Tribolium castaneum: one gene and its partners. The protein of the gene in region 1 interacts with the protein of each later gene in a pairwise test. Links are inferred from orthologs where the notes say so. Each region holds a gene or a part of one and is shown in the gene's direction. Other genes may lie near its edges.

Region 1 (3,237 bases):
CGCTTTTGAGATTAGGCTAAATTGTGATGAAACGTTACTAACTCAAAAATAATCCGGAAAATAACAAAATTTGGAATGTTAATTTTGTATTTAGCGGACGTTTATAGACGTTTTTAAAGAGTTTTTTGTTATGTAGGTGTAGAGTCTTTGTGTGTTTTAAGCACGTGTTTAAATTGAAAACTTCATTTTGAAATGGAGCATAGGCTTATTAATATTAATATTTTCAATAATATAAAGTCGCCCTGATTCTGTGAGATTATATGGTGATCATAAAATTAGTCTATTATGTGAAATGTAACCGATACCCTATTGAAAAGAAACCCCAGTGGTAAATTATTCTAGCAACTTTTCTAGCAACACCCTTGTCAAAGGGTCCAGGACGGAACTCAAAATAATTTGAGACCGCACAAATTAAATTTGTTTTATATTAAACAATGATAAAATGTTGGCACCTGATAATTTTCATGCTTGCAATCTGGTTTTACAGCAGTAATTATTTTCTTTTCTTAAGTGCTTAAGTGAATTTTGAAAACATTAGGGAAATTATTTGGAGCCGGACCTGGCCGGTGAAAGCAACCAGTCTAGGAGAAGTCAGTTTTTGCAAGGGCGCGTAGGTCTTAATACCTGCACAATAGATGATCCTTAGTAGTGGTAATGAAGTTTATTGTGGTTGTATAATCTTACAAGATCAGGGTTACTATAATAGTATATTATTATATGTGTTTTATAAGACGTTCTCTTGTAGCACGAATGGTTTTGGAGCACGACGAAGGGGTGTTCCAATAGAATGAGTGCCACAATTAAAACTTATAAAACGAGTGCAGTACTATTTTTTCTACTTTCTATTTTTGTTGTTTGTTTTTGTTTAGTTTAACTTATCAAAATCTGTTTAAACTGTTTCCTCTTATTTTTGTTAATTATTCGGGCTTTATGATAAGCGACTTGACCCAGCCACCCAGCCCAGCAATGCCAATACAACTTCTAAAAATTTACTAAAAGGAGTTCACAAGTTCTCTTTGTGAAACTACTTTCAGTTTGTTTGAACAATTTGTGAAACCAAAGTCGAAAAACATATTTTTGTGTTCATTTTTATACTGTTAATATGCTTGTTTTTTGGGATTAGATTGGAGCTGCTGACACCGTTAGAGCAACCACTACTCTAACTCTTAACAAAGATGGTCCTATTACTGCTACGTCTATTATCGAGTCCGTCCCTAAAACTCCGGGAGCCCCAGAATCGGCCCATACGGTTGTATGTTTATATTTGTTTGCGTTTTTCTTAATAAAAAAATTTAGGCCGACTCATACCCCAGTGCCCCTCCAGCAAACCTTGTTTTTGAATCCTGGGCTCGTGAAAGTCCGCGCAAAACTCACCAGAAACTAGCCGGCAAAGAACATTGTTTTCAACAAAAAACTCTTGTAATGCCTGAAACTTGCACATCTTGCGATAAACGAATCCGCTTTGGTAGGAGCGCTTTTAAGTGCAAAGAATGCAAAGCTCTGTGTCATTTGGAATGCAAGAACAATCTTCCTTTGCCATGTATTCCTGTGGTGCATACACCAAATCAACGAAACGGATTGGTATGTTACTAGAAATTAAAAGTAACTCTTGTACTAATGTTAACTTATGAAGGGGGTTATTGGTGATTATACCCCAACAACTCCCCCCATGGTTCCAGCTATTCTTATCCACTGCATAAACGAAATTGAATTAAGAGGGCTCTCAGAAGTTGGCTTATACCGAGTTCCAGGCTCAGAACGTGATGTTAAGGCTTTGAAGGAACGGTTTCTGAAAGGCAAAGGGGCCCCATGTCTTAATCAAGTTGACATTCCTGTGATTTGTGGAACTGTCAAAGACTTTCTCAGGGGTTTACATGAACCAGTCATAACTTACGCCTTGTGGAAAAAATTTGTACAAGCTGTGAATGCTCAGGACCCACTTGACATCCAACCAGCTCTGTATCAAGCCATATCAGAGCTTCCACAACCAAACAGAGACACTCTCGCATATATGATTCTGCATCTTCAGAAGTAAAACAGACAATTACAAGTGGAACAAGTTTAGAAAATTTTATTTTTAGGGTGGCAGAGGCCAAAGAATGCAAAATGAATATCGGTAACCTTGCCAAAATTTTCGGACCGACTTTAGTTGGATACTCGTCCGATAATCCAAACCCGAATAATTTGCTGGATGAAATCGTTCAACATAATATGGTATGTTTTGTTCTATTGCAGGTTCAAGTTTGAGACAAGTAATTTTATTAGGTAATGGAACATTTGCTTAATATCCCATCTGATTACTGGTCTGGTTTTATCAACATCGAGCCGACTTATCAACGTGGAAAATTGCAGCAAACTCCAAGCACTGATTCATTATTGCGTCCTATAGCTCCTAAAGGACTTTTCACACCAGTGAGCGCTAACAGGTTGTTGTCTCATTATAACAAATGCCCCGAAGTTTTCTAATTATTATTATTTTGCAGAAGTTGTGCGAAAAAGAAGCAGAAGTATTTTCCTTCACCCAAGAATTTCCGATAAATTATTACTTATTAATAAGTTTTTTTACATTTTATACTGAAGAAATATTATTTTCTAAACTTTAGCATCTTTTATATGCCTTTTAAATATACCACTGTATATTGTCCAAGTTGATTGGATTGGTTATTTTCAAACTAAGTGGTGTAAAATATTTATGTAAAAACTAATTACGTTAAAATATACCATATTTTGGACTAAATTTGATTATTACTTTGAAGCACCTTTCATTCTTGTTACAAGCAACGAGCGGCTTTTGATAATGGCACCAACAAAAGAAATACGTCGCATAATAATACTAATAATTATAAATACCGGGTGCTCAAAAATCGGCGCACCAACTCAATGGAGTGTGATGGAGAACTGCTTACACATAAAGGTAAAAATAGTAAAAAAATTCTTTATATTAAAGTTATTGATAAATGACGAATTTTAAATAAATGATATGTGGCAACGTTGTCTAACAGTCGTGATCGCAATTGAATTTGATCAACAATAAAAATAAATTATTTTTCAAACGGTTTCCTAGGAAATCATTCCCAGTGTTGGCACATCTGCACATTGTGATTTTTTCGATGAATTCTAATTTTTTTAAATTGAAAAAACTGCTAAAGTCTGTTAGTAAATTTAAAAATAATTATTCATCGTTTTGTTAGGTAACTATTACTTAGTGCGAAACATAAAAACATTAAAAAATAATAA
Region 2 (4,003 bases), on another chromosome or scaffold:
AAATCCCCCACTTTCAATTAAACTATAATTTGAAAGTAAAATGCACAGAAATAAAGAGTGGGTTGGTTAGTTCCAACTTCGGTCTAGAGAAGAGATCAAGTAGAACAGGTGAGTACGATTTATTTTAACCACGTCAAGACTTTTTCATTTATTTTTATTTTATAAAATTATTGTGTGAAAAATTTTTTTTCGTTGTTTCGTAGGGTATTTTAATCAATTCACTCATTAAGAAAAAATTGAACGTTTTATTATTATGAAAGGGTCGGAACTTTAATTTTTTATACAGCAGACTTTTAAAGCCCAGTTTCGCTCAATTCCAATTCACTAATTTGTTAATCAATTAAATTAAACCTAGCAGGTCACCGTTGTGCAAAGAACCTAAATCAAATCAGTCTTTTCCGGCCATTTCCGGTTAAAAAAAAATTATGCCACCGATTTTTTTCAAAGTGATTGTAAAATGACCTCCAATATCGTAAGAAAGTGACAAGAATATGCTAATGGTTCATGAAAAAAATCACTAGTGGACAAATAAAGGTGACGTCTGCATTTGGAAAGTGCACTTAAGTAAAACAATAAGTCATGTTTACCCAATAAATAAACAAATTCGAATTTAACGTGTCACATAACTTATGGAAAAAAAAGTTTTCAGTAAATGAAATCGTTTAGTCCGCGGTCCGCCTCAAGCAAAACCACCCCTAAAATTTGTCAAACAAACTACGGAATTACTTAATAAAAAAAACACTATAAGATAAACCTTGAAAAAGGCTTTTACAACACTTTGTAATAAACAATAAATAAAATAACCTTACGTTCCGCCTCTTCAAAACCACACTTATGCATAAATTTTCTTTGTAACCCATGTCCTTAAGTGTCTTCGTTTTTCTGCAATCATTGACCTTTGAACAGAACCCGGGGGGCCCAGATTTTGAAACGCTACCTAACATTACATAATGCCAGTAAAGAAAACCACCAAATATTTACATAAAATGACGTGTTTTCCCAAAACCGGCTTTAATTATTACACAAATAACACTCTTTTCCCTGTTCGACTTTTAAACACTTTCTAGGTTACCTTTTTGTTTGTATGTCAAATGCAAATGTCAAAACTGACAACCGAAAAAAAAATTTTTTAACACTTTAAATGAAAAAAAAAACAGTTTTTTCACAGCACTATTATTATTATTTATTCGTTACTCGCATTTTTGTGAATTAAATAATCAAGCATAAACCAACAAATAAAAAACTTAGCGCGCTTAGAGGTCGCTCTTACAGAAACCTGTACGGTTTTTACTGTCAAATGGTTCAAATTCAAATTTTGAAAGCGCAAACGGTTATTTCTGTCACCGTCTTGTACGAAGTGAACGTTTTTAAATTCAGTCAAACAATTAACAAACGAAATGAACCCTGTGAGCAAATTCACGCCGAAAATCCGGCGCGAGAAAACCATCACAAAAACAGACAAAGACCCCGTGCAAGTTTTTTGCCGGCTTCGCCCCCTTAAAGGTAACGAGGAATCGACTTGCATCCGACTGTTATCACCGACGACACTCGCACTCACCACCCCTGCCGAATCAAAAATCATTCGTAAGGAAATCCACTGCAAGTTCAAGCACATTTTTACGGCCTTCGCCACCCAAAACGAGGTTTTTGAACATGTGGCGTACCCCCTTTTGGAGGATTTACTCAAGGGTAAAAACGCCCTACTCTTCACTTATGGGGTCACGGGGTCCGGGAAGACGCACACGCTGACTGGGGACCACAACAACCCGGGGATTATGCCCAAGTGTATCTACACGATTTTTAATTCGATTTCGGCGTTTCAAGCCCCCAAGTGTGTCATTAAGTCGGATAAAATGAACGGGTTTGAGGTGCAATCGCAGGACGACGCCATGCAAGATCAGTTGGCTTTGCTCAGAGCGTCCTCCAAGAGCACCCCCAGGAGCACCGTTAAGCGAAACGGGAAGGAAAAGACTTACGTTAACGACGGTATTAAAATCATGGACGTTAACGAGGGCAACTTGTACTCGGTCTTTGTGAGTTACATTGAGATTTATAACAATACGGTGTACGATTTGTTGGATGAGAACACCGGGAGCCGGATGCAGGGCAAAATATTACGTGAGGATTCGAATAAAAACATGTACGTGAATGGGGTTGTCGAGACTGAGGTGAAGTCGGCCGAGGAGGCGTTCGAGTTGTTCAACATCGGACAAAAGCGCAAAAAAATGGGCAACACAATTTTAAATTCAGTCTCAAGTCGGAGTCACTCAATTTTAAATATTCGACTCGTCCAGCTGGAACAATACTCCCACAATGCTGAGGGACGTCCCATGATCCCTGACAGCAACCTCCTCAAAATCTCCCAACTGAGTCTAGTTGACTTGGCGGGTTCTGAGCGCACAACACGAACTCAAAACACCGGCCAGTTGTTGAGGGAAGCCAGTCAAATCAACAACTCGCTCATGTCTTTGAGGACGTGTCTGGACGTTTTGAGGGAAAACCAAACGACCGGAGGCAACCGACTGGTGCCGTATCGCGACAGCCGCCTAACTCTCCTCTTCAAAAACTACTTTGAGGGCGAAGGTCGTGTCGAAATGATCGTCTGTGTGAACCCCTCAATTGCCGACTTTGAGGAGAATTTACAAGTCATGAAGTTCGCCGAATCGACCCAAGATGTGAAAGTGGCACGATCTGAACCGAAATACACACCGTGCAAAAGCAAAATTACGAAGAAAACACCAATGAAAAGCAAGGCGAGTTTGTTCACACTTGGGCCAAAAATCCCCGAATTCAAGCGACATTTTTCGAGTCTTGACGAAAGTCACGTCGCTTTGGAGCGCTTAAGCAACATTTTGAAAACCCGATTTGAGAAAATCAAAAGTTTGGATGCGACCTTGGACCAGGAGGAGGCGCGGTTCAGGAAGCGCTTGCTGGAGATACAGCAGGAAAACATTCTGGGGAAGTCCGAAGTTAAGAGTAGTAAAGCACTGCTTAAGAAGGAGAAACAAAGGTCGTACAACATGGAGGCGAAATTGGCCGACGCCGAGGCCCGGGCCGGTGATTTCCGGGCGAAAATACGCGACTATCAGGATGAGATAGCGTCGTTACGCAACATTATTGCCGAGAAGGATTTGAAAATTAATAAAAACATACTAGAGAAGGAGAAAACCAAGCAAAAGCTGGCCCTCCAGACGGAGAAAATGACCCAGGAGCTGGACGCGAAGTTGCGAAGGCAGCGTGAGCACTTGCAAGCCGCTGCCAAAGCCAAGGAAAACAAGCTGCAAAAAGTGCGCGAAATCCTGGATAAGGAGATAACGCCGCCGGAAATAGAAGAGGAGCAAGCGCCTCTGGAGGAGACGCCCAAGCAGCAGACGAGGAGGCGATACGTGGGGACGCCGGCCGCCACCAGGAGGCGGTCCCGGTCCGCGGGGCCCACTGAGGTTGTTTACCGTTCTATTGTTTGATTTTTTTAATAGGGGTTGTAGGTGTGGCTTGAGCACAATTCGGTTAAGCCAGTGCCGCTTGGTACCGTCCTTCAACCGTCCATGAAAAAACGCAAGTCGGTTACCAAGTTGAGTAAAGCTAGCGATGTTACGAACCCGAAGCAGAGCAAATATTGTCTGATAGCGCAGGAACAGGACGATGGTGGGGTTGAAACTAGGGTTTACAAGGGCGATATTGTGCCCACGTGTGGGGGCGGGGCCCAGGTGATTTTTAACGATGTGGAGAGACTAAGACAGGAGTCGCCAACGGCTGATGCGGATTGATTTTTTTTATTATAATAAGCTCTATTTTTTTATTTGTTGGTTTATGTGTGATTGTACTTAACTGGATAATAAATTAATTTATATCAGAGGTTTTTTCTAGAGCAATGCGAGCCGCTTTGATTGTCTTTTCCGCCCTTGTGGCAACCGCTTGGGGCTACTCTGCCGGCGCCCCCGAATCCGTCTGTGATGATATGATTCCTAAGCACCCAGTCTTGCCCCAAAAATCCCCCCTTCCT
Region 3 (4,271 bases), on another chromosome or scaffold:
TTTGATACTTCCAATTTAAGCGCCCCCACGTAAACCTCACTACAAAGGGTCCAAAAATGGGGCTCTTGCACCGAATAAACGCCTGGCAAACTGACCACTTTCTGGTAACACTGCGGCAAAACATTATCAAGTGCATACGGCTGTCTCTGCATTAAAATAACAACGGAATCTTTAATCAACGCTAGCACACTTAACGCTATTAAAATCGCAATAAACATCGAACAAATTGGATCAGCAATCATCCAACCGAACATTTGCATTAACACTGCCGAAATTATTACACCAACACTTCCCAAAGTGTCGGCCAGGATGTGGAGGAACACTCCTTTCATTATTTGCGAATTACCACTTGCTGCTATATCTATGTCCAGAGTGTGGTCGTGGGAGTGACCATGGGAGTTGTGGTTGTGCCCATGGGAGTGACCGTGGCCGCCACCACCGTGGGAGTGCCCATGGCCGTGCTGGAAGGCGTAAATTCCCACCAAATTGACTAAAAGGCCCAGCACTGAGACCAGAAACAACCTCTCGTGTTTCACCTAAAATAGTTAATAATTAATGAAAATAATAATAATTTAACAATAATTCTTGCCTCAGGGGGCTCTATTGCACGCTCTACAGCTTCCGACATGATAAAAAACGAGATAAAAAGCAAAAACAACCCATTAACAAAACCGGCCAAAACCTCAGCACGGACGTAACCGTACGAATATTTCTCGTTGGCTTTCCATTTCGTGATTACGGACGCGGCCAAGCCGGCTAATAAGCCAGTACAGTCGAAAAACATATGGAAGGAATCGGATATTAAACCTAAAACAACCATTTCACGAAAATAGTAACAAGCACAACAACTCACCTAAGCTATTAGACCATACACCATAAACTAACTCTACAAACGCAAACGAGAGGTTCAGAAGCAGGAACAGAAACAAATTGCGGGAGTTCCTGTCGGAAAAAATTAACCTCATCCACCCGTTCAACTTCTCCTTAATTCGGGACCCGAAGCCCCGGTGCAAATTATCCTTGTGCGACAGTGGCAACATGATGATTTCGTCACGGAAGGCCGATATTCACAGGCAGAGACCGGTCATTATCAGATTTTTTGATAAAATTGCATACGTGTTTCACCCAACTTGAATTTTGCCATTACACTTGATTTTGCTTCAACCCGACTTCAGGTAATCATAATTCGCTCATTTTATCAGCTAGTGTGACACGTACACTATTTAAATTAGGATTTTTGGCAAAAAAATGCAAAATATACTCAAAAAGTCGGAACTACTGTCAAAATTTTGGCAACTGTCAGTTTCCCAGCTTGACCAACCAATTTCTTTACAAGTTTTTTTAATTGAGACTAGTGACTGGAATCAAGACTGGGGTCAAGTTTGTGTTTTTGTGCAAGTAAAATAATCTTCAAAGTTGTAATGTGGTCAATTTGGTCGTTTTTTGAGTAATTTTGAGTTTTTTCCCAAAATTGAAGTCCCTAGATTTTGGATTATGGGCGACAGTGCCACCGGTGGCGCTTTCCCGAAGTGCTATTTCAAATCGAACCTTCAACGGTAATTTATCAACAACCAAACTTTATGCACAAAGTGTGAATTTGATTTATCACGGGGCGACCTTGCACTTAAATGGACTCGTTTACGGAGGTACGTGCGCACTTTCGCCCCATTTTCCGATTTTCCGCTTGTTTTTTCCGCAGAATCTCCTAACTCGGGCGAGGGAGCGTCAGAGACTCCTCGAAGACTACAACAGTGACTTGAGGAAGACTCCCCCTCGCAGCGGTAAAGTAACGTTGTCTCAACCTAACTTAAGCTCGAATTCGCCCAAGTTGGAAGCCAATTCCAAGTCTGAAGGTAATTTGCCAACAGTTACACGCACTCACATCTCATCCGATTTCACCTCTCATAAAAGCCTAAATATACAAAACGATAGTTTTAACATGGAAATTAAAGTAAGTTCGGCTGATAATGTTCATGTTGAAGTGCAAATTGAGGAGCAGAGTGATGATGATAGGAGTGACGGGGGTCTGAGACAGGATGCTAAAAATAGGCTAAATCGGTTGGGGAAATTGTATGCAGGTAAGAGAGAAGGCTTTGCTTTGACTCGGGTTTATTTTTGTTTTGATTGGGGGACAAAGGGGGCGACGATGCGGACATTTCTTCGCCAATTCATCAGACAGAAGCTAGATTTTGTGCACATGGGTCTCCAACGAAAACACCGGCAGAAAACGGAAGGAATAAGAGGGGGCTGAGCAAACTGGCCGACTTGGCACAGAGGGTCAATCAGTTTGAGGACGACTTGACTCCAGTAAGTCATTGTAAAAAAGTTAAATTCAATTAACTTTTTCATGTCTTGTTTTCTGTTTAATTATGTATTGCTTCTTACGTCAGTGCCAACAATTATCGAAACAATATAACTTGTAAGACTTGTGGGATATTTACGTACATTTTTTTAAAGTAATTTAATGCAATTATGCGACAGGCTTTGAATAATTAACATTACAGTATAACCACAATTAACAACGTTTCTCGTTGCTTTATTATTATAAAAATAAAAAATTACAGAATATTTAATGAAATATCGATAGTATGTCTTTAAATACCAAATGGAAAGTCGAAGAAAACGTAAATTTTTTATTTAAACGTGCCTTTAGGTGCGTAAAGAGCGGGACAATTCTCCTGCCAAAACAAAAAAATCGTGGAAACCCCCAGCCCCCAAGCCCCCAGAACCAAAAACCCCAAACACGCCACCAAAATCAGCGACAAAATACAAAGCCCCAGAACCACCCATCAAAGATCAAGAAAAACAAGAACAGAAGAAAATAAATTGGGATAAGAAAGTGCTCGATTCTCTCGTAATTTTCCAATAAATTGAACTTTACAATGTAATTTCCCGAGCATTTCCAGGAATCGCAAGGCTTCCAGCGGACAGAATCCAGCTCTAAATTGGTGTACAAATACAAGGCGCAACAACAAAACAAAGAAAATGAACAAGCAACCACAAAACCCGCCTCTTCTCCCCAAAAAAGTAAAATTGCTGATAAAGCGGCCTTCTTTGAATCAAGTCCCAACAAACAGCCAAAAGATCCGGCTTTGTTATCAGTTTCGGAAAGGAAAGCCCTGTTTGAGAAAAACAAAGGCGCAGCTTTGGTGCCCAAAGCCCCATTTGCTATGGCAACACCTATCAAAAAAGATGTCCCGAAAGAAAAAAAAGTCCCTGCGCCACCATCACCAAAAAAAGAAGTGGCGACACCAAGGGGCGAAGGAATTGCGAATAAAGTTGCGGCTTTGTTTGAGCAAAAAAGCACAATTTCGCAGGAACAGATTGAGAGTAATGTGAGGGAGCAAAGGCAGAAAGAAATGGATTTGTTGTTGAATAGATTCCATAAGAACAATGACGAGGAGGAGTTTGATGATGATACGGAAGAAACGGCCATGATTGAGGAAAAATCGGCGAAGAAAGTTGCTGTTGTTAGTCCGAAGGAAAAAAGGAGCAGTGGCAAAAGAAGCCGTAAATTTCTTTATTTTTCAAATTGATTAATTTAATCAATTGAGTTAGTTACAGGTAAAGGCGATAGTCCGAAAGTGGCGGCTGTTCTAAGCGAAGTGAAGCGAATCAAAGTGGCGTCGCAGAAAACAGGCCGATTATACCCAAGTTTGACGGATATTGAGTCAGTGACTGAGACTGAGAATGAGAGTCCGAGTCCAACAACAAACAGGTGCGATAAAATTACCGACTGGATTTTATTCCTTTTATGTCTTTCTTAAACAATTAGTATTCTTTTTTGACTGTATTATATGTGTAATATAACTATTTTACTACAACTGTTTGTTTTTTCCCTTGATCTAGCAGCGACAACAGTTTTGCTGAATCTGACGATGCTAATACCAGTTTCGGTCGAGATATTCTGCGAGCGGTTTGCCAGAATCAAACGCCACAAAAAAGAGTAAGTTTTTTGCTTCATGAAATTAAAAACGCTTAAATCGCGCCACAAGTGAAGTGGACTAAAATTTATTTAGGTGGGTTAAGGTTACGGGAACTGTTGAAGCGAATAAAAAAACAAATATTTTTTGCAAATGCATGTTAATAAATTGAGTCGGAGATAAAAATTTCCTTGACTTATTCTTGAGATATTGTAGCTTACTAATGGGACTGTATTGTTTCATGCGATTTTAACGTCTAGTTTTTTTATAAAAAAATCTAAACTAGGAGTATGTATTGAAATTTTCAATAAAATAAAAAATAGTTAAATTCACTATCAAATTTCATTG

Evidence for each region. The genes of interacting proteins can lie anywhere in the genome.
Region 2: the proteins of tum (region 1) and pav interact in a two-hybrid assay, tested with the Drosophila melanogaster proteins (3 studies listed by BioGRID). The link is inferred for Tribolium castaneum from reciprocal best matches to the Drosophila melanogaster genes tum and pav.
Region 3: the proteins of tum (region 1) and scra interact in a two-hybrid assay, tested with the Drosophila melanogaster proteins (2 studies listed by BioGRID). The link is inferred for Tribolium castaneum from reciprocal best matches to the Drosophila melanogaster genes tum and scra.

Annotation. Positions count from the first base shown.
Region 1 is NC_087394.1:20,766,483-20,769,719, reverse strand, and holds the end of tum (rac GTPase-activating protein 1), read left to right. Parts: intron 1-1,123; coding exon 1,124-1,249; intron 1,250-1,296; coding exon 1,297-1,581; intron 1,582-1,633; coding exon 1,634-2,031; intron 2,032-2,081; coding exon 2,082-2,214; intron 2,215-2,265; coding exon 2,266-2,426; intron 2,427-2,483; coding exon 2,484-2,538; 3' UTR 2,539-2,737; downstream 2,738-3,237.
Region 2 is NC_087398.1:1,086,290-1,090,292, forward strand, and holds pav (kinesin-like protein KIF23), read left to right. Parts: upstream 1-1,203; 5' UTR 1,204-1,397; coding exon 1,398-3,440; intron 3,441-3,485; coding exon 3,486-3,767; 3' UTR 3,768-3,853; downstream 3,854-4,003. Other genes in the region: l(2)34Fc (putative defense protein Hdd11), read left to right, coding at 3,872-4,003.
Region 3 is NC_087396.1:20,580,383-20,584,653, forward strand, and holds the start of scra (anillin), read left to right. Parts: upstream 1-1,471; 5' UTR 1,472-1,628; coding exon 1,629-1,646; intron 1,647-1,699; coding exon 1,700-2,078; intron 2,079-2,137; coding exon 2,138-2,307; intron 2,308-2,653; coding exon 2,654-2,854; intron 2,855-2,906; coding exon 2,907-3,510; intron 3,511-3,558; coding exon 3,559-3,718; intron 3,719-3,849; coding exon 3,850-3,946; intron 3,947-4,271. Other genes in the region: ZnT86D (zinc transporter 7), read right to left, coding at 1-536, 590-807, 854-1,040. UniProt on the Drosophila melanogaster protein: Required for cytokinesis. Essential for the structural integrity of the cleavage furrow and for completion of cleavage furrow ingression and proper formation of the midbody.